Lonchura striata: one gene and its partner. The protein of the gene in region 1 interacts with the protein of each later gene in a biochemical or structural test. Links are inferred from orthologs where the notes say so. Each region holds a gene or a part of one and is shown on either strand. Other genes may lie near its edges.

The links. The genes of interacting proteins can lie anywhere in the genome.
Region 2: the proteins of SMAD3 (region 1) and PIN1 form a complex in vitro, tested with the Homo sapiens proteins (2 studies listed by BioGRID, with this or other methods). The link is inferred for Lonchura striata from reciprocal best matches to the Homo sapiens genes SMAD3 and PIN1.

The regions. Positions count from the first base shown.
Region 1 is NC_134613.1:23,081,935-23,092,235, reverse strand, and holds the start of SMAD3 (mothers against decapentaplegic homolog 3), read right to left. Parts: upstream 5,377-10,301; 5' UTR 5,298-5,376; coding exon 5,092-5,297; intron 1-5,091. UniProt on the Homo sapiens protein: Receptor-regulated SMAD (R-SMAD) that is an intracellular signal transducer and transcriptional modulator activated by TGF-beta (transforming growth factor) and activin type 1 receptor kinases.
Region 2 is NC_134623.1:1,532,938-1,543,238, reverse strand, and holds PIN1 (peptidyl-prolyl cis-trans isomerase NIMA-interacting 1), read right to left. Parts: upstream 5,697-10,301; 5' UTR 5,669-5,696; coding exon 5,611-5,668; intron 4,532-5,610; coding exon 4,340-4,531; intron 3,142-4,339; coding exon 3,031-3,141; intron 2,367-3,030; coding exon 2,257-2,366; 3' UTR 421-2,256; downstream 1-420. Other genes in the region: CHCHD5 (coiled-coil-helix-coiled-coil-helix domain-containing protein 5), read right to left, coding at 9,173-9,298. UniProt on the Homo sapiens protein: Peptidyl-prolyl cis/trans isomerase (PPIase) that binds to and isomerizes specific phosphorylated Ser/Thr-Pro (pSer/Thr-Pro) motifs.

The sequences.
Region 1 (10,301 bases):
TATGGCCGCAGCCTGACAGCAGTGCTTTGTTTTTGGGAACACAACAACTCCACACACATCACCCAAGCTGATGTAAGAGGCAGGAGTAAGTGCAAGGGGGTGACAAAAAGCTGGAGGGGCTGCAGGGAGCAGAAACCTGTGCCCAGAGAGGGAGTTGAGAAAGGCACTGATGGAGAAGCAGCACTGCAGGCAGAAAATCATGGAATCACACAGAAAAAGCTGAACTGGAAGGGACCCACAAGGGTCACCGAGTCCAACTCCTGGCCCCACACAGGAGCAAGGCCATGTCACACCCTGGGCCCAAGAGAGTTGCCCAAACACTCCTGGAGGTCTGTCAGGCTCAGGCTCATGGGGACTCACCCTACCTCCACCTTCAGACCTGGCCTGAGAGTCCCACAGAGGCCACCACAGCTGCTGAGGGCACTGCAGCAGCACAAAGGTTGGGCAGGGCTGTAAAACCTGCCCAGGGCTCGGGCAGGACAGAGGTCACTGCCACGGCTTTGCAGCAGGAAAATCCCCAGCAGGATGGAGCCGGGCAGGGAGATGGCAGCCTGAGGTGCACACCAGGGCTAAGCCCCTGCAGGCGCTCCCAGACAAGGCCAGGAAATATTAAAGCTCCTCACACTCAGGGATAGAAAACTGAAAACAAAGTAGCTTGAAACTGGTATCGAAAAATACATAAATTTGCACATGGACACACAAAGCTGTGGCTGGTCCTTTGCTGCTTACTGCAGTCAGATGGGCAGCAGTCCCAAAAAAGAGTCTGGAATCAGAATATCCCAAGCTGGAAGAGACCCACAAGGAGCAAGTCCAGTGACCCCAAAATCACACCATAGTGTGAAACCACAACATCCTTCAGGGTCTTGCAAACAGCCTCTGCCACTTAATACCCTCACCGTTTTCCTCTTTTCCTGGTATCCCCTCAAACCTAAGAACACGATTAAGTTCTGTAAATATTGTGTGGTCAACTCCCAACACAACAGAAGCTGTGCTCACACCCAAGATGTTCCTGAAATAATTATGTTCCTTCTTTATTATCATTATGTATTAAGTTCCTTGTGTATTATCCCTGGTTTTCCCCACCAAAATGTAAATCATTTAAGGAACACCATATTCAGTGGCTTTTAAGAAGCAAATGTGCCATGTTTTCATTTTAACTGGTACATTCTGCCCTTATCAGATGAGTTCCACAAGAAATAACACCCACCTCTCTTCACAACTGTTTTCTAAATTAAAAAAAAAACCCACTACTTAAAAGAAGGTGATCTTTACATACAGGAATCCTGGTTCCCCTAAAACCACTGGTGATACCAAAACAAATAAATACAGTAATGAGTTCAAAAGAAAAATGTCCATATGAAAATATATTACAAAATATCAGGAGATTTATGTCTTTGTGTGTGTAGCACCACTAAAGCTCTTGAAACAAAGCATTTACTATCATAAAGCAAGACTACAGACACTGCACAGCTTGTAGAAATTACCGAGTGCCTGTCACATGGTCTGCTTTCTGCAGATCAGACCCTAAAAAAGTTGAGTTCAACACTCACCACACTTCATTTGCAGGGCAAATGCTGCTGGTTTCTCAGGTGCACAAAACGGCCTCTCTTCTGCTCAGAACAGTATTAGAAATTCAGGGGTTTTTGCAGGTTTGTATGAATGTCAGATGTAGACGCCACTCTGACCACATTTTTGGGTCTCTGAAGAGAACAGAGCCACCAAAAATCCTGCGAGCAGCTGGAGCAGATCATTGCCTGCTCACAGAGCAAGGCAGAGAGGCCACAAACACCCTCCTGCCTGTGCTGGGTAGGTGTTAATGGCACACTTGTGCCCAGGTTGGTCTGAAAAGTGATAAAAATGCTCATTCTGAAAGCTGGGCTTTCAAGATAACTGTGACAAAGGGTGCATTTTAATGAGCAGAAGAATGTGTCTTCTCAACGTTTATCACCCAATACAGGATGAAAAACCCTTTCTGCCAGGGAGACCCGACTCACTAGGTGAGCTCTGGCACTAAAGGCCACCAGCTCGGGCACAGAGGTTTAAAGAAAGGTCCTGCTGGGGCAGGATGGGCTTTGGCAGCTGTGTCCAGAGGAGCAGGGAAGGAAGATCCTCTAAAGGAGCCGTCCTGTGCAGCAGCAGCACCACCAGAAACCATCAGCTGGTTTGAGACCAGAGTTTTTCAGGTGGAAATGACTTCCTCCTCCAGCAGTAAAAACATGAAGGAAAAATCCTTCTTGCCAGAAGAGTTGCTGAAATCCTTGAAGGCCTCTCCAGCCTTTTACTATCTTCACAGGTTCTCCCAACAGAACACCTGGGGTATCTGTCACACCACCTCAGAAATTGAGCACTTGGAGAAGTAACACATGCTGAGCAAATAAACTAATCCCTGTTTACTAATCTGTCAGGAGATAGCATGTAGTACGTGCTTCCAGATCCCAGCAGATAAACATGACAGCAGGAATACATTTGTTATTCTAATTCCTTAGCCCTACAACAAAACAAATATATTTTCCTGTCCTTTCTTCAAACAATCCCACCTGATCAGTCCAGGAATTTGCTGTGTAGCCCTCATTCCCACAAGCAATGTTTCTGCAAAGCTCGAGCCCTTTTCCATGTAAAACTTGCTCTGTCTCATGGATACAATAGCTAATTTTGGACTTACCCTGCTCCTGCTGGGCCAGAGTCATCACTGGCATGGCTCCACTGTAATTCAGTCTACTGATGCATTACGGACAATGCACAACATGAGCTAATCCTTAATGATGCTTTTCCCCCCTTTCCCCCCTCCCCAGCATATCATTTGAGTAAATAGTAAAATGACATACGTAAAAATTATTAAATGAAAAAAACAAACAGCAAACGAAAACCACGCTAAAATCGTCTTGCAAACACTAATTTCAGATGACACAGTAATCAGATTCACAGATACATTAGGACAAGCAGTGCAGCCCAGAGGAAAAGGCACAGCTCTTAAAGTCACAAGGCCTGGTCAGAGCTGCAGCTCTGCACTGACTTCAGGGATTGTTCCATGCTCCCACCCCATTCCCCAACCTCTGACACACAGATGTTAACATCTCAGCACAGAAAAACCTAACCACGGGCATTTCTAAACAATAAAAAAGCAGATATGAAGTTGTGTTTAAAAATTAATGCCAAGGTATAAGGGGCTCCCACCAAAACAGGCTGATGCCTCCCCCATACCAAGGTTTAAGATCTGTAGGATCCAGGTTCAGTGTCATAAATTAACACAAAATGTTTTAATTTCTGCACAGATTTTCTTTAACAGATGAGGAACAGTCAGGACAATCTCTGAAGGTGAGTCTGCATGACTTGCGACATATGTTTGCGTTGTTATTTATTTTCAAACTTTACCTTTTTTCTTTTAATAAAGCATTGTGTTTGGCCCAACACTTTTCTTCCTTTAAATCATAAAATATCAAATCCTTCCTTATCTAAACCACTCTGTTAGGAGTCACAGAAGTTCCACGGGCCTTCATGCTCTGCTCCCTAACGGGTCAGCATCAGCCAGACACAATACCCAGGTCACAGCAGCAGGGCTGCTCCAGAAATTTTCTTCTTTTGAAATGGTAAATATTACAGAGAAGTGCTTTAAATGGTAAATATTTCAGGGAATTATCTACGTGGAAAGCACGCTGCTTACCAAGAACTTGAAAAATATAGATTTTAAGGCATTTGTATTGCGTGGTGGCTCTACAGGTTTTGATTTCTGCTTCAAGTAGAAGCCGGAGCAACTCTAACAAAGGCTGAGAGCTCTCATTTGCATTACCGGCCAAAATCTTGGCCAAAGTCATTCAGCACCAAAAAAGATAAGGAGGCTTTATTTTTCCTTTTAAAAAAACACTGCAGTTGTTGGAAGAAAATTTCAGGAGCTCCAAACATCCACATTTCTAAGCTACTTGCTTCACTTTTTCATGCAACAGATGCTGCTTTGTATCAGCTCCTGCATATTAAATCATTCTGACAAGCAAGAAAGCATACATTTGTTTGTGCCAGAGAGAAGCATGAATACACACACACACACAGATATCTTCTCACGCAGAAGCACACAATTATGCAGCATTCAAATATTTGGGATGAACTTTGGCCTTTGCTTAAAAAAAAAAAAATACTCTCAAACACAATCAGGAACAGACCCAGCAGTCATCTGGCTGAGCTCACAGAATTCAACAATCTGCAGCAATAAAACACCACTTGTGGGCAGCCATTTGAAAGTTACTTGGAAAATTGTTCTTAGATGGGATAGTTTTATACACGTCTTTTATGATTTATGATGGCCCTGTGGATCGAGTTCGGAATGGAGACTGAAAATAAAATCTATGTTCATTCAAAAAATGGAAGAAAAAAAATCAGTTATATTCACCCTGACATGTGTGGGGTTTTTTTTGGTTTTTTTTTTTTTTTCACTCCAAACGACCTCCTTCAGCTCTGCCATTTGCATTCCCGATTTAAAAAGTAACTCGAAAACATCAGCAGAGCAGGGCTCTAAATGACCCCTTCGGAGGAGTAAGGAAGAGGCCAAACAACCCAAACAAAACCGTTTTCCTAACGCGCTAATCACAAGAAAATCTAAATGCAACAGCACTTGAGAACAAGCTGAAACTTCTGACAATAAGAGTGGAACTGCTCCGCAGCGCTTCCAACTTTGTTTTTTTTTTTTTTCTTTTTTATGATCTCGGCTCGAGGCATATTTTCTCCACTACGTTTTCTCTCTCGTTACTACAGAGTAATTCAGTTCTGCAGGCAGAACGGGGTTTTTCTTAGCTCGGTAAGGAGCAGGCAGAGAGGACGGACACCGCGCCGAGCCCTGCCCGGCCGTGCCGGGGCCCGGGGGTCCCTGAGGGTCCCTCGGGGTCCCTCGGGGTCCCTGCGGGTCCCTCGGGGTCCCTCGGGGTCCCGGCGGGTCCCTCGGGGTCCCTCGGGGTCCCGGCGGGTCCCTCGGGGTCCCGGCGGGTCCCTGCGGGTCCCTCGGGGTCCCGGCGGGTCCCTCGGGGTCCCGGCGGGTCCCTCGGGGTCCCTCGGGGTCCCTGCGGGTCCCGCACGCCCCTCGAGCCGCGCCCCCCGCACCCATACCTGGGGATGGTGATGCACTTGGTGTTGATGTTCTGCGTGGTGATCGCCTTCTCCAGCTCGTCCAGCTGCCCCGTCTTCTTCAGCTTCTTCACCAGGCTCTTCACCGCCTTCTCGCACCATTTCTCCTCCTGCCCGTTCTGCTCGCCTTTCTTCCAGCCCAGGAGCCGCTTGACGATGGGAGGAGTGAAGGGCAGGATGGAGGACATGCTGGCTGTGCCGGCAGCGCCCGCCGCCGGCTCCGCGCTCTGCCCGCCGCCGGCTCCGCCGCCTCACACCCGCGGCCCGGCCCGGCCCCGCCGCTGCCTCAGCGCCGCGGGCCCGCGGCTCCAAACTTTGCCCGGAGTTCGCCGCCTCTCCCCGGCGGCGGCGGCAGCTCCCTCCTCCTCCCCCTCCTGCCCCGCTCTGTGTGCGCGGAGAGGCGCCCACTCCAGCTCATTCCCAGTCTGTCTCTCATGCAAATTGCCTGCTGGCCGCCCCGGCCCGGCTTCCACCCCCTCCTTCCCTCCCTCCCTCGGCGGCGTGTTTGGGAGGGAAGGAGGGCGGGAGGCTGCGCGCCTCCATCGCCGCCCGCGGAGGCCCCGGCTCCCTGAGGGGGACCGCGCTCCAGAAAAGCCCGGCAGCACGGCAGGGAGAGGTGCCCGGACAAACCCCACCGGAAAAGAAACACAGGCTTAAAGCCCCACAAGCGTAAAGCCCCACAAGTGTAAAGCCCGCTCAGGGAGGGGAAGGGGACAAGAGGCTCCACAGCGTGGCTGCAGCCCCTGCCACGGGCATTTCATCCGTGGAATCTGTTCCCACACAGATACCTGAACACAGCTCGGCCAGCCGTGCTCAGACAATTAGCTGCTTTTTGTTCCAACTCCTTTAATTTAATATTCCATTCCCTCATCTTTCCACCCCGAGCAACAGGTACCCGGATAATTTTTGCCCTGTATCAGACAAAAAGGACACCCTGGAGGTGTTTACCGCTGGAGCTGGTCAGAAATTCTCAGACGGAATATTTTTGTCAGAGGATGGCAATTTGTTCACATCTAGGTGTTTTGTAGAGATGCTTCGGTTTGGGCTGACTCAGGGTGGCATCCAGGTACATTTCCAGTTTCGAACTTTCCATCACTGAGCAGACTGGGTTGTCACACTCCCCGGTCTCAAGAAGCCCAAGTTCTAAAAAAACATATAATTATAAACTTTAGCTCCTCAAAGCAGCAGTTCTCTGTTAAACCACCCCAAAATGGTGCTGAGTGAGGAGCCTCAGAGGCACCTGCAGAGTCACCAGGTGCCTCCAACCAGGCTGGTTCCTTTTCTCAACTCCAGCTGCATCTCATCTCCCTGCAACAGCTGCCCAGGAGCAACAGGGTGAAAGTTTTGTGGGACTTGGCTCCCGAATTCGGAATTTTCAAGCTGAGCTATGCTTCCCAGTTCTCTCCATCCTATCAGAAGGGACGGTGGTGAGCCCGAATTTGGGAAGCCCGTGGGGCTGCTCGGCTGCTCCCAGACACGCAGGGTCTTGCCAACCCACGTTCTCATATTCCAGGATCCAGAGTAACCCAGTGGGGAGACTCCTCGAAAGCTGGCATCCCAAACCCCTGTGCCTGTGGATTCGGAGCAGCCAGCCATCCAGATTGCCTCGTGGCAACTCAGGAACCGATGGCATCACACAGCATCTGAGGCAACTGCCTTGCCTTTCACAGGCACTTCAAACACAGGCTTTATTCCAAATTGACAGTACCAATTTTTGAAATATTAATATTGGCTACAAATTAAATATGCCCTTATCTTTTTTTTTTTTTTCCCTTCAGCATTCTCATATTATTCCCCAACATGCATTCCCTGAGTGTCTTGAATTTTGGAGGCTCACCACTAAAATTTTGGACTGTTGCCCTGACCCAGTTTTTGGCTGCTTTGGTTGAAGTACAAAGATGTGGAACCCCTGCAGATTATCCCAACATCATTTGAGGAAATATCTCCTGAATACCTCTAAAGCACTGCAAAAAAATTACGGATACTATTTACACTAAAAGCAGGATGCCTCAATTACTAACTTGCTAGCACTGTTGACTTTCTGTATGTTTGTGTTTTTCTGAAAAGGCCAAGTTTCTGATAGTCTGTGATTATTTAAAGGTCTGAATTTTTATTTAAAAGTTGTTCACAACTTTAGAAAATGGCTTGAATATGTGGACCAAGTGAAACACAGATGGGGAAGTTAAATACATTTTTTAAATGCAGAAATACATTCTTACTACATTTTGAAATGGGGTGAAGTTAAATAATCTTTCTCTATTTTCTCAATTCTTGGCCCAGCACATTTTGCAAGCCCAGAGGCCGAAGGACCTGCCTCAGACCTGGTAAGTCCATATTACATCAGGGTGATCTCAGAGCAGATTTCTCTTCTGAGGACCAACATTTCTTTCTGGCTCTTTTGGATAGAAAACCACAGGCACTATTCCATGCTTTCTTCATCCAGAAAGATATGATAATACTCAAATCTCATCACTACACTCAGAATTCATGCTGTGACCTCGGTTCAGCAGAGCTTCTAGAATTTTCTGTCCATGTTCAAGGTCTGATCTTCACTCCTCACAGTCATATCACAAGTCATGGTCTGGGTACATTTGAATAAGGGGAAGGAGAGGAAGAGCTGAGTGGTTTGCTCGTGCTTGTAGAGTGATTTAGTGGCAAAAGGGTGAAGATAATTTGCTAAACACTAAACCAAACTGTGTCTCTCTTGCTTACAACCTCTAAATGAGGTGTAGGCAGCTCAACCACTGATCTAAACTCTGGGCCACAGCAGCACTGAAAACACTCCTGAGAACAAACAAACAGTTGGGCTTGGGATGTGGGATACATTTTTAAACTTAAGGCCATGACATTTAATGGAACAGCTTGTGTGCTTGCTGGGGTTACCTGTCAGAATGAACTGTTCTATGAAAATATGACTTTCTGAACCCCTAGACAGTAATCCTTTATTTCAGAGAGTTTTGGACACTCTCATAGTGGAAAAATTAACAGGAAAAGCAGGACCGTCCCAATTCTGCGTGGTCTGGATCCGACTGCTGGTTTACAAAATGTCTGACGTCTTGGAAGCCACCACTAAGCAGGAGAAGTTTATGCTTCTTTTTGTGATTGTGCTCATTTTTTGTGGAACAATTTGTTCTTTACTTTTAAACAGTCATTATCTTTGCCTGTGTTTGGAATTCTAGAGGTTCAGGGCCACAGTTTGCTCTCACTGAGAAATAAAGATATATGTAGTCTGCAATAATGGGAGGAAACCAAACACTTCAAGAAAAAAACCCAAACCCTTTACAGCTATTTTGCATTTCTTAACCTTTTAGACTAGAACCTTAAAAATATTGAAAAATAATATCTGCATACCTTGGGTTTTGATATGATTAATGAATAGGACCAGGATTAAAATTCTCCTTTCACAAAGATAAAAATCAGCTCTGCTTTAGGAACAATATAAAATTAGCATGAGAAACAAGAAGGTGTTCACTGGAGCTCAGCTGTGCATATATGTACCTTTATCAAAAATATTTTTAACAGCTTCAGAGACTGAAGAATTGTTCTGTGCTTTGCTCCATGTTCCCTCTATATCCTTTGAGTAGTGAGAAGGGATTTTTGGGGCGAGCAGGAAGGTGTTCAGGGCGAGCTGGAACAGGCAGGATGGAGGCAGCGTGGCCAGAGCACGCTGTTCCCTGCCTGGGCTTGGGCTCTGAGGGATCCTGGTGCCTGCTCCAACAGCTCCCAGCGTGCCACTGTGGCTGGGTTGAAAATCAGGGAGTGGTTGAGAAGCAGCTTCTGAGGTGCTGCCCCCGTTTCTACCTCACTGGCTGAAATATTAAATGTATTTCCTACCTGTACGTGGAATTTTACAATTCCCAGGTGGACAAGCTGGGAAGCTCATAGCAGACAGGATGGTGGCCTCGACTCTTCTTGTCCAGTGTTCTCCATGAAGGGTGAGATGGGCAGCACTGAAAATGAGGAATTTTAAATTGGGTTATCTTCTTTGCTTACCTTGTAAATAAGGGCTGTGGCATTTAACTCGGAACCTATGTCATGTATAATGTGCATAAACAAGGGAAAGTGTGGGAGCTTTCCCTGGTGAAGGTAACATATATATATATCTATATGTGTAGAACAGCATTTATATGCAAGCAAACCTCTCTTAATCACTCAGAACAAACCCACAGGAAAATAACTTCTGGCGTGAGTCATGAAAAAGCGAGGCCTTTGTAAGTTAATGTGTTCAGCAGTAATGTCAGCTCTGTGAAATACACAGCTCAGTCAAATCCTTACAGGGTACCACAGCTATTCTCCTCTGCAGATGAGAAAACACGCACGCACAATGAAAAGTTGTTTTGTTGGAAATTCCTGATGCTTCATACACACAAGCCAATTCACCTGCATGTTCCAAGAGACTCAGTGGTGCAAAAATCACACAACCACTTCTAGTCAAGCCAGAATCCTTTCTGTTACCACGGCAGCACCTCTTGCCTAAGGGAAAAATACAAGGCAGCAGCACGTCCAGAGTGATCCTTCTAAAACACTCTCCCAATTCCTGGCAGTTATTTGTGTAGGCGCTCCTGGACTGGAGCTGACCTCCCTGGAGAGCCATGGACAGGCCATTCCTGCACTCCAAAACCTCTCTGCTTCTGATTTACACCTCTGAGTAGCCTTCCCCAGATCCCCATGGCCCATCTGGGGCACAGGACAGAGATAATATGAAGAAGAACTAAAATTCTCCATTGCAAAAATGATTCCTTCGTTGTTTCCTTTATGAACCGTATGGGTCTCGGCAGAGAGAGAAAGGGCGGTGCTGAGGCTGGGGCAGGTGAGTGATCTCCCAGGAAATGTGAATGTTCCCCTGTGTGTCACAGTGAGATGTGAGGCACCGGGGCCCTGGGGGTGTTTGTGGTGTGCAGGGAGCTGGGGGGCCCTGGCTGCTCCCCTGGGTCGGGGCTGCTCGGGGCACTCGCAGCTGCACGGGAAGCGCCGAGCTTTGCTTCACTGGCATGGCACGTCCTGCTGGGTACAGCCTCAGCTCCCCTCACAAACACCTTCAGAAGGTGCAGAGGGAATCCATCCCAGCTCTGCTTCACTGGCATGGCACGTCCTGCAGGGCACGGCCTCAGCTCCCCTCACAAACACCTCCAGAGGGTACAGAGGGAATCCATCCCAGCTCTGATTTATCCTGCTGGGTACAGCCTCAGCTC
Region 2 (10,301 bases), on another chromosome or scaffold:
TCATCATCGTCATCGGTGTCATTGTCACCATCATTGGTGTCATCATCGTCATTGGTGTCATTGTCAACGTCATTGGTGTCATCGTCATCAGTGTCATCATCATTGGTATCGTCTTCACCGTCATTGTCATCATCATTGGTGTCATCATCTTCATCATCTGGCACTGTCATCATCATCATCACTGTTGTCATTGTTGGCCGTTGCCACGGCTCATCATCGTCACCGTCGTTGGTCATCGTCATTGTCACCATTGTTGGTCATCGTCACTATTGTTGGCCATGGCCATTGTCACCATAGTTGGTCATTGTCATCGTCACCATCGTTGCCCATGGCCATTGTCACCATAGTTGGCCATTGTCACCACAGTTGGTCATTGTCACCATCATTGGTCATTGTCACCATCATTGGTCATTGTCATCGTCACCATCGTTGCCCATGGCCATTGTCACCATAGTTGGCCATTGTCACCATCATTGGTCATTGTCACCATTGTTGGTCAATGTCAACTTTGTTGGCCACGGTCATTGTCACCATCATTGGCCATGGCCATTGTCACCATCACCACTGTTGGTCATCGTCATCGTCATCGTTGCCACCGTCACCGCTGCGCTCCCGGAGCCGCGACCACCGGGAGCCGCCTCCGGCCGACCCGACGTTCCCAAAAACTGCAGGAATTCCCCGAAAACTGCGGGAATTCCCCGAAAACCGCAGGAATTCCCCGAAAACTGCGGGAATTCCCCGAAAACCGCGGGAATTCCCCCAAAACCGCAGGAATTCCCCCAAAACCACAGGAATTCCCCGAAAACCGCGGGAATTCCCCGAAAACCGCAGGAATTCCCCCAAAACCACAGGAATTCCCCGAAAACCGCGGGAATTCCCCGAAAACCGCAGGAATTCCCCCAAAACCGCAGGAATTCCCCGAAAACCGCGGGAATTCCCCGAAAACCGCAGGAATTCCCCGTTTCCGCTCCCGCCCGGGAGGACGCGGAACGATGGAGGAATTGTGGGATCTGGAGTTTGTGGTGGGCGGGATTCCCGCGGATTCCATGGATTTCCTGCGGATTCCGTGGATTTTCCAGATTCCATGGATTCCTGAGGATTTCCCGTGGATTCCATGGATTTCCTGTGGATTTCCCGTGGATTCCATGGATTTCCCATAGATTCCATGGATTTCCTGTGGATTCCATGGATTCTTGAGGATTTCCTGTGGATTCCATGGATTTCCTGTGGATTCCTGTGGATTCCCAAGGATTTCCATGGATTCCTGTGGATTCCCATGGATTCCCGTGGATTCCTGAGAATTCCCATGGATTTCCTGAGGATTTCCATGGATTCCCGTGGATTCCTGAGAATTCCCATGGATTTCCTGAGGATTTCCATGGATTCCTGTGGATTCCCGTGGATTCCTGAGAATTCCCATGGATTTCCTGAGGATTTCCATGGATTCCTGTGGATTCCTGAGAATTCCCATGGATTTCCTGAGGATTTCCATGGATTCCTGTGGATTCCCATGGTTTTCCTGCGGATTCCTGAGAATTCCCAGAGATCGCCATGGCTTCCCTTGGAGTTAACAGATTCCCATCGATTCCGACGGATTCCCATGAATTCCGTAGATTCCTGGAGATCTCCACAGATGTCCCACGGATTCCCGCGGAATTCCTGAGAATTTCCACGGATTCCCACAGATTCCTATGGACTTCCATGGATTCCTGTGGATCCACATGGATTTCGGTGGATTCCTGAGGATTTCCATGGATTCCCATGGATTTCCTGTGGATTCCCACGGATTCCTGAGAATTCCCATGGATTTCCTGAGGATTTCCACAGATTCCTGTGGATTCCCATGGATTTCTTGAGGATTTCCACGGATTCCTGTGGATTTCCTCAGGATTTCCACGGATTCCCATGGATTTCCTGTGGATTTCCACGGATTTCTGTGGATTTCCTCAGGATTTCCATGGATTCCCATGGATTTCCTGTGGATTCCCATGGATTCCCATAGATTCCTGAGGATTTCCGTGGATTCCCGTGGATTTCCTGAGGATTTCCATGGATTTCTGTGGATTTCCTCAGGATTTCCATGGATTCCCATGGATTTTCTGTGGATTCCCGCGGATTCCTGAGGATTTCCATGGATTCCCGTGGAGTCAACAGATTCCCATCGATTCCGACGGATTCCCGTGAATTCCCGCGGATTCCCGGAGACCTCCGCGGGTTCCCGAGGATTCCCGGGAATTCCGGCCCTGCCAAGGCACTTCACTCCGTGCGGAGGATGATGTGGATCCCGGATTCCGTGAACACGGGGCCGCTCATCTCGCCGGCCCGCAGCGCGAACGAGGCGTCCTCGAACGGCTTCTGCATCTGCCCTGCGACCAAAACCCCCAAAAATCAAAACAAAACCCAAAAAAACGGGATTTGGGGCTCTTCCCGGAGAAAAATCCGGGATTTCAACACCGGGGGAGGCGATTCCGGGAGTTTGGATGGAGCACGGTTGGAATTACGGGGGATTCGGGGTTGATTTGGGGCATAAATCCCTGGGAATTGGAGGATTTGGGGAAACAACCCCTGAAATGGCTGATTTTAGGGATAAATCCCCTGGAATTGGTGGATTTGGGGAAACAACCCCTGAAATGGCTGATTTTAGGGATAAATCCCCTGGAATTGGTGGATTTGGGGAAACAACCCCTGAAATGGCTGATTTTAGGGATAAATCCCCTGGAATTGGATGGATTCTGTGAATTTTTGGGGAAACAACCCCTGAAATGGCTGATTTTAGGGATAAATCCCCTGGAATTGCATGATTTGGAGATTTTTTTGGGGGGGAGAAAAAGTCCTGAAATTGGTGGATTTGGGGTTTTTTGGGGGTGAATTCCCTGGATTTGAGGGTTTTTTTTGAGGGGGGATAAATGTCTTGGAATTCCTTGGATTTGGGTCTTTTTTTGGAGAGTAAATCCTCTGGATTTGGGGGGGTTTGGGGATGATTCCCCTGGAATTGATGGATTTGGGGATTTTTTGGGATGAATCCCTCACCTCTCCCGAACGCTCCCAGGTCTCCTCCAGCCTTGGCCGAGCTGCAGTCGCTGAACTGCGAAGCCAAAGACTCAAAATCCTCCTCTCCCGATTTGATTTTCTGGATGTAACCTGGAAGAAAAACGGGAAAACCCCAAATTTAGGGATCAAAACCACTCCCAAAATTCCCTGGGTGCCGCAGATTCCATGGGAAATGAGACAATCCCAAAATATCCTCAAATCTACCCCAAAACCAACATTCCTGGTTTTTTTTTCCCGAAAAGTCATCACTCACTCCCACTTTTTTTTCCCCCCCAAATTCACTATTCCCAGTTTTTTTTTCCCCAAAAATCGGTCATTTCAGGGAGCTTTTTTTTTCCCCCAAAAAAAAGGGAAAATTGGAGAAAAGAACCATCCAGGGAAGGAATTCTAGGATGAGTTTTGGGAAATGGTGGAATTTTAGGGCTGACTTCTGGGAAAAGGTGGAATTTGGGGTGGAATCCGGGGAGATCCCAAATCCTTTGGAATTCCTGGGATTCATTCCCAGAGTTTCTATTTGCCATTGGCGAGCTTTTATAAAGAATGTCCAGCTCCTGAGCTCATTAATGAAGCCCAGTATCCCCAGTATGCCCAGTATCCCATCACTCCCAGTATTCCCAGTACCCTGAGTATCCCATCATTCCCAGTATCCCCAGTATCCCATCACTCCCAGTATTCCCAGTACCCTGAGTATCCCATCATTCCCAGTATCCCCAGTATCCCATCACTCCCAGTACCCCAAGTATCCCAGTATCACCAGTATCCCATCAGCCCATCACCCCCAGTATCCCCCCAGTATATCCCAGTATCCCCCCAGTATCACTCCCAGTTTATCCCAGTATCACTCCCAGTTTATCCCAGTATCATTCCCAGTTTATCCCAGTACCATTCCCAGTTTATCCCTGACCATTGACGAGCTCCAGCGCCTCCTCCTTGGAGCGGGTGATGCGCTCCTGCCTCCAGCTGAGTCTCCCCAGTAACCCCCCAGTATTACTCCCAGTTTATCCCAGTATCCCCCCAGTATCACTCCCAGTTTATCCCAGTATCACTCCCAGTTTATCCCAGTATCATTCCCAGTTTATCCCAGTATCCCCCCCAGTTTATCCCAGTTTATCCCTGACCATTGACGAGCTCCAGCGCCTCCTCCTTGGAGCGGGTGATGCGCTCCTGCCTCCAGCTGAGTCTCCCCAGTAACCCCCCAGTATCACTCCCAGTTTATCCCAGTATCCCCCCAGTATCACTCCCAGTTTATCCCAGTACCACTCCCAGTTTATCCCAGTTTATCCCTGACCATTGACGAGCTCCAGCGCCTCCTCCTTGGAGCGGGTGATGCGCTCCTGCCTCCAGCTGGACGGGCGCCGGGACTGGTTGTGCTTCACCAGGAGGTGCGAGCAGCGCACCCGGCCCGGCTCCGCCCGGCCCGCGCCGCTCGGCCGCTCCCATTGGCTGGCGTTCGTCAGGTGGTTGAAGTAGTACACCCTGCCTGGGGGGTATTGATCCGCTATTGGTTATTGATTACTGATTGGTTACCGATCGGTATCAAAAAATTGGTTATTGGTACCAAAACCTCCTCACAGGCCCCAGTATTGACCCCACTGGCTGGCGTTCACCAGGTGGTTGAAGTAGTACACGTGTCCTGCAGGGTTACTAATCGGTTATCAATCAATATTGGTCGGCTATTGGTTATTGATCACTGATCATTTATTGATTTGCACTGATAAATCAGCTTATTGACATCAATTCCCACCTCAATGACCCCACTGGCTGATCTTTGCCTGGTGGTTGAAGCAGTACCCCCTCCCTGGGGAGCTATTGATCAAATATCAGTTATTGATTAATTATAGGTTATTGATCAGTGATTGCTTACTGATTGCTGCTGAAAATTGAGGTGATTAAACCCAAAATGCAGGTTAAGGACCCTAAAAATCCATTGAGCCCCCCCAAATTCCCTTCATGAGGGGGATCTCCCTAAAATTCCCCTCACCAGGGGGATCCCACCCAAATTCCCCTCATGAGGGAGATTCCCCCCCAAATTCCCCTCAGGAGGGAGATTCCCCCCCCCAAATTCCCCTCACGAGGGGAATCCTCCCCAAATTCCCCTCAGGAAGAGGATCCCCCCCAAATTCCCCTCAGGAAGGGGAACCCCCCTAATTCCCTTTGACGCCCCCCCAAATTCCCCTCACCAGGGGGATCCCCCCCCAAATTCCCCTCAGGAGGGAGATCCTCCCCCCCAAATTCCCCTCATGAGCGGGACCCCCCAAATTCCCCTCACGGAATTGCCCCCCCTCTTCCCTGAGACGAACCCCCCCCCCTCAGAACCCCCCTAAATTGGCGACCCCCCCAAATTCCCCTCACGACATTGACCCCCCCTCCCTGAAGCGATGCCCCCTCACGACCCTCCCTCAATTCGCCGCCCCCTCCTCAAATCCCCCTCACGCACCCCCCCCACCACGCCCCCTCACCCCCTCCAAAACCCAACCCCGCCGCCCCCACCGCCCTTTCCCACCTCCCCCATGGCCGCAGCTCCTTCCCCGCGCTTCCCCCCAGCCCTCAGGCCCTCACCGGAGCTGCGGCTCATTCGCTTCTCCCACCCCGCGGGCAGCTTCTCCTCCTCCGCCATCTTCCCTTCCCTCTGCCCGCCCTGCGCGGCCCGCCCACACCGCCACGCGGAGGGGCGGGCAAACCAGCGCTTCTCGCGTTCCTATTGGTCGGCAGAGACGATGCGCCCCTCAGGGCATCATCTTATTGGCGGAGCCGCCTGTCAATCAAGCGCGCGGTGAAGCCGAGACGCGCGCGGGAAAGGCGGGATGGTGGCCGTGCGTGGCTAAATTTAACCGGAACGCAAAGACGCAGCGCTGCCTCTACTGTGCCCGGTTAGAGCGTCCCGGTCCCACCGGAGCAAAGAAATCAACCGGAGCCTCCAAAAGCAGCTTTATTATCGACAAACCCAACGCTACAGAACGCGCGCGGCCGGTTTAAAGCCTCTACGTGGCGCCGGTTTGGTCACACGGGGGATGGGAGGGGGAGAACGGAGGATGGCGGAGGAGAACGGGGAACACCGGGAGAACCGGGGGGACACCGAGAGGCAGCCTCTCGTGGTCGTTCATCCCCATCGCGGAGCTCATCCGCAGCGGGGATTAACGGCAACGGGGCCGCCGCTGTGGCGGGCCCGGAAGTGACGTCACGGGCACGCCGGCGCGTTGCCTGGCAACGGCGTTTGTTGTTAGCAACGGCCAAGATGGCGGCAGCGGCCCGGGCCCCCTCGCGGGTGGGTACTGGGGGTTACTGGGAGGGACTGGGGGGGATCTTTGCCTTCCGTGGGGGGGCTCTGAGGGGTGGCTGGGGACAACGAGGATTGGGAGGGGACAAATGGCGCCCGAAGGCGCCGCAGCCTCGCCTCTTTCCCGCTTTTTCCTCGCCTTCCCCCCCCCCCCATTTCTTTCCCTTTCTTCCCCCCTTGCCCTTTTTTCCCGCCTTTTCCACACCTTTCTTTCCCTCATCCCCGCTTGCCCCTTTTTCCGCCCTTTTTTCCCCGCCTTTCTCCCCCTTGCCTTTTTTCCCGCCTTTTTTTTCCCGCCTTTTCTACCCCTTTCTTCCCCTCATCTCCCCCTTGAGCTTTTTTCCCCGCCCTTTTTTTTCCCGCCCTTTAAGTCTCCCCTCAGGGACCCGGCGCCGAGGGAAACTGGGAATGGGTCCACAGCACCGACTACAAATCCTCCTTCACGTGAGCTCCCAAAATCCCCAAATTCCGGCCAAAATCCCGGAATTCCGGCCAAAATCCCCAAATTCCGGCCAAAATCCCGGAATTCCGGCCAAAATCCCAAAACTCCACCCCAAAATCTCCAAATTCCAGCCAAAATCCCAAAAATCCACCCCGAAATCCTGAAATTCCACCCCAAAATCCCAGAATTCCGGCCAAAATCCCGAAAATCCACCCCGAAATCCTGAAATTCCACCCCAAAATCCCCAAATTCCACCCCAAAATCTCCAAATTCCACCCCAAAATCCCAAAATTCCACCCCAAAATCCCGAAAATCCACCCCAAAATCCCAAAATTCCACCCCAAAATCCCCAAATTCCGGCCAAAATCCCAAAATTCCACCCCAAAATCCCTGAATTCCGGCCAAAATCCCAAAATTCCACCCCAAAATCCCCAAATTCCAGCCAAAATCCCGAAAATCCACCTCAAAATCCCGAAAATCCACCCCAAAATTCCACCCCAAAATCCCCAAATTCCACCCCAAAATCCCCGAATTCCGGCCAAAATCCCGAAAATCCACCCCAAAATCCCAAAATTCCACCCCAAAATCCCCAAATTCCGGCCAAAATCCTGAAAATCCACCCCAAAATCCCAAAATTCCGGCCAAAATCCCAAAATTCCACCACAAAATCCCCAAATTCCGGCCAAAATCCTGAAAATCCACCCCAAAACCCCAAAATTCCACCCCAAAATCCCAGAATTCCGGCCAAAATCCCGAAAATCCACCCCAAAATCCTGAAATTCCACCCCAAAATCCCCAAATTCCACCCCAAAATCTCCAAATTCCAGCCAAAATCCCGAAAATCCACCTCAAAATCCCCAAATTCCACCCCAAAATCCCAGAATTCCACTCCAAAATCTGGGATTCCACCCCAAAATCCCAAGATTCTGTCCCAAAATCAGAATTTTGGGAAAAAGAAATTGTAATTTTGGGAAATTTTTGTAACATTCCCCCCTAAAAATCAGAATTTTGGGCGATTTCCCTCCCCAAATCTCGGGATTTTTGCAAAATTCCCCCTAAGAATCGGAATTTTGGGGGAAAAAATCGGAATTTTGGGGGAAAAAATCAGAATTTTGTGGGGAAAAAAATTGGAATTTTAGGGGGAAAAAATCAGAATTTTGTGGGAAAAAGTCGGAATTTTGGGGGGTAAAAGTCGGATTTTTGGGGTAAAAAAAAATCGGAATTTTGGGCAATTTCACCCCCCAAAGCTCGGGGTTTTTCCTGCATCCCTCCCTAAAAGTGTGAATTTTCCGTGGGAGTTTTTTCCCGTCCCGAATGCCAATTTTTTCCCCCCAAAATTCCAATTCCCCGAGCCCACAGAAACACAAATCCCCCCGAAAATCCCCAAAATCCCACATCCCCCACCTCCCTGCGGCCCCGCGCCAAATTCCCAAAAAAACCGGGAATTTCCCAGCGGAATAAACGGAATTTCCTGCTTCGGTTTGGCCAAATTTCAGATTTCTTTTTCTTTTTTTTCCCCAGATTTTTCCCAGGTTTTCAGGTAAAAATTCCCAATTTTTTTCTGGTTCTAAGAGGAAATTGGAGATTAAGAAATTTGGGGATTTTGTGATCCTGTTCCCCAATTTTCCCCCACCCTGCGTGAAATTCCCAAAAAAATGGGAATTTTTTTAGCAGAATAAACGGAATTTCCTGCTTCGGTTTGGCAGAATTTGCATTTTTTTTCCTGGATTTTTCCCAGATTTTCAGATAAAAATTCCCAATTTTCAATTTTTTTAAAAATTAATTTTAATTTTTAAAATTAATTTAAATTTTTTTCCCCCGGATTTTTCCCAGATTTTTGTGTGGTTTTAGGGTAAAAATCCTCAATTTTTTTGTGGTTTTAAGGGAAAATATTCAGAAAGTTGGGAATTTTTTAGCCTCGTTCCCAATTTTCCCCCACCCCACTGTGAAATTCCCAAAAAAACCAGGAATCTTTTAGTGGAATAAACAGAATTTCCTGCTTCAGTTTGGTCAAATTTGGGATTTTCTGCATTTTTTTCCAGGATTTTTCCCAGATTTTCAGGTAAAAATTCCCAATTTCCTGTGCTGATTATTGGGAATTTTTTGGGGAAATATCTCTTTTTCTTGGCTTCTTTTTTTTTAAATAAAATTAGGGAATAAAAAGTGGGGGGGAGGGGGCGAAGAGGAAAAAGTTGGGAATGAAAAGTGGGAAAAAAGGAGGAAAAATGGGAAAGAAAAGAGGAAAAAAAAAGGAAAAATGGGAATGAAAAGAGGAAAAAAATGGGAAAGAAAAGAGGAAAAAAAGGGGAAAAAATGGGAATGAAAAGAAGTAAAATCAGAATTTTTGGTCCCATCCTGAAAATTCCTGGGATTTTTATTTCTTCGATTTTTGGGATAAAAGCTCAGGCATCCGCAGGGAATTGGGGCTCCTTTTCCAGAGGGGAAATTCCCAAAATTTGGGAGGAGATTCCGGAAGCTTCTGAGGCTTTCCCGGCGTTCCCAGAGGGGTTTTCAATTCCTGGGATTTTCTGGGGAGAGAAAAAAAAGGGAAAAAAACCCAAAATTCATATTTTGGTCCCAAAATTCCATCCCAAATTTCCTCTTTTTCACTGAGGGAATAAAAAAAGCGGCACCGGGGGGGATTTGAGGGAATTCAGATAATGAAATCCCAAATTTCCAGCGTTTCCTGAGGGATAAAATCCCATTTTTATCCTAAAATTTTGGCTTCAAATTCCCTTTTTGGGGTTCCATCCTCACCGGTGGCCGTGTCCCTGGCTAAAATCCCGGTTTTTTCCCGGGATTCTCACCGGTGTCCCTGACTAAAATCCCGGTTTTTTCCCGGGATTCTCACCGGTGTCCCCGGCTGATATCCCGGTTTTTCCCGGGATTCTCACCGGTGTCCCCGGCTGAAATCCCGGTTTTATCCCGGGATTCTCACCGGTGTCCCTGGCTGAAATCCCATTTTTATCCCGGAATTCCTCACCGGTGTCCCCGGCTGATATCCCGGTTTTTTCCCGGGATTCTCACCGGTGTCCCCGGCTGATATCCCGGTTTTTTCCCGGGATTCTCACCGGTGTCCCCGGCTAATATCCCGGGATTCTCACCGGTATCCCCGGCTGATATCCCGGTTTTTTCCCGGGATTCTCACCGGTGTCCCCGGCTGATATCCCGGGATTCTCACCGGTGTCCCCGGCTGATATCCCGGTTTTTCCCGGGATTCTCACCGGTGTCCCCGGCTAATATCCCGGGATTCTCACCGGTGTCCCCGGCTGATATCCCGGTTTTTCCCGGGATTCTCACCGGTGTCCCCGGCTGAAATCCCGGTTTTATCCCGGGATTCTCACCGGTGTCCCCGGCTGATATCCCGGTTTTATCCCGGGATTCTCACCGGTGTCCCCGGCTGATATCCCGGTTTTTCCCGGGATTCTCACCGGTGTCCCCGGCTGAAATCCCGGTTTTATCCCGGGATTCTCACCGGTGTCCCCGGCTGATATCCCGGTTTTATCCCGGGATTCTCACCGGTGTCCCCAG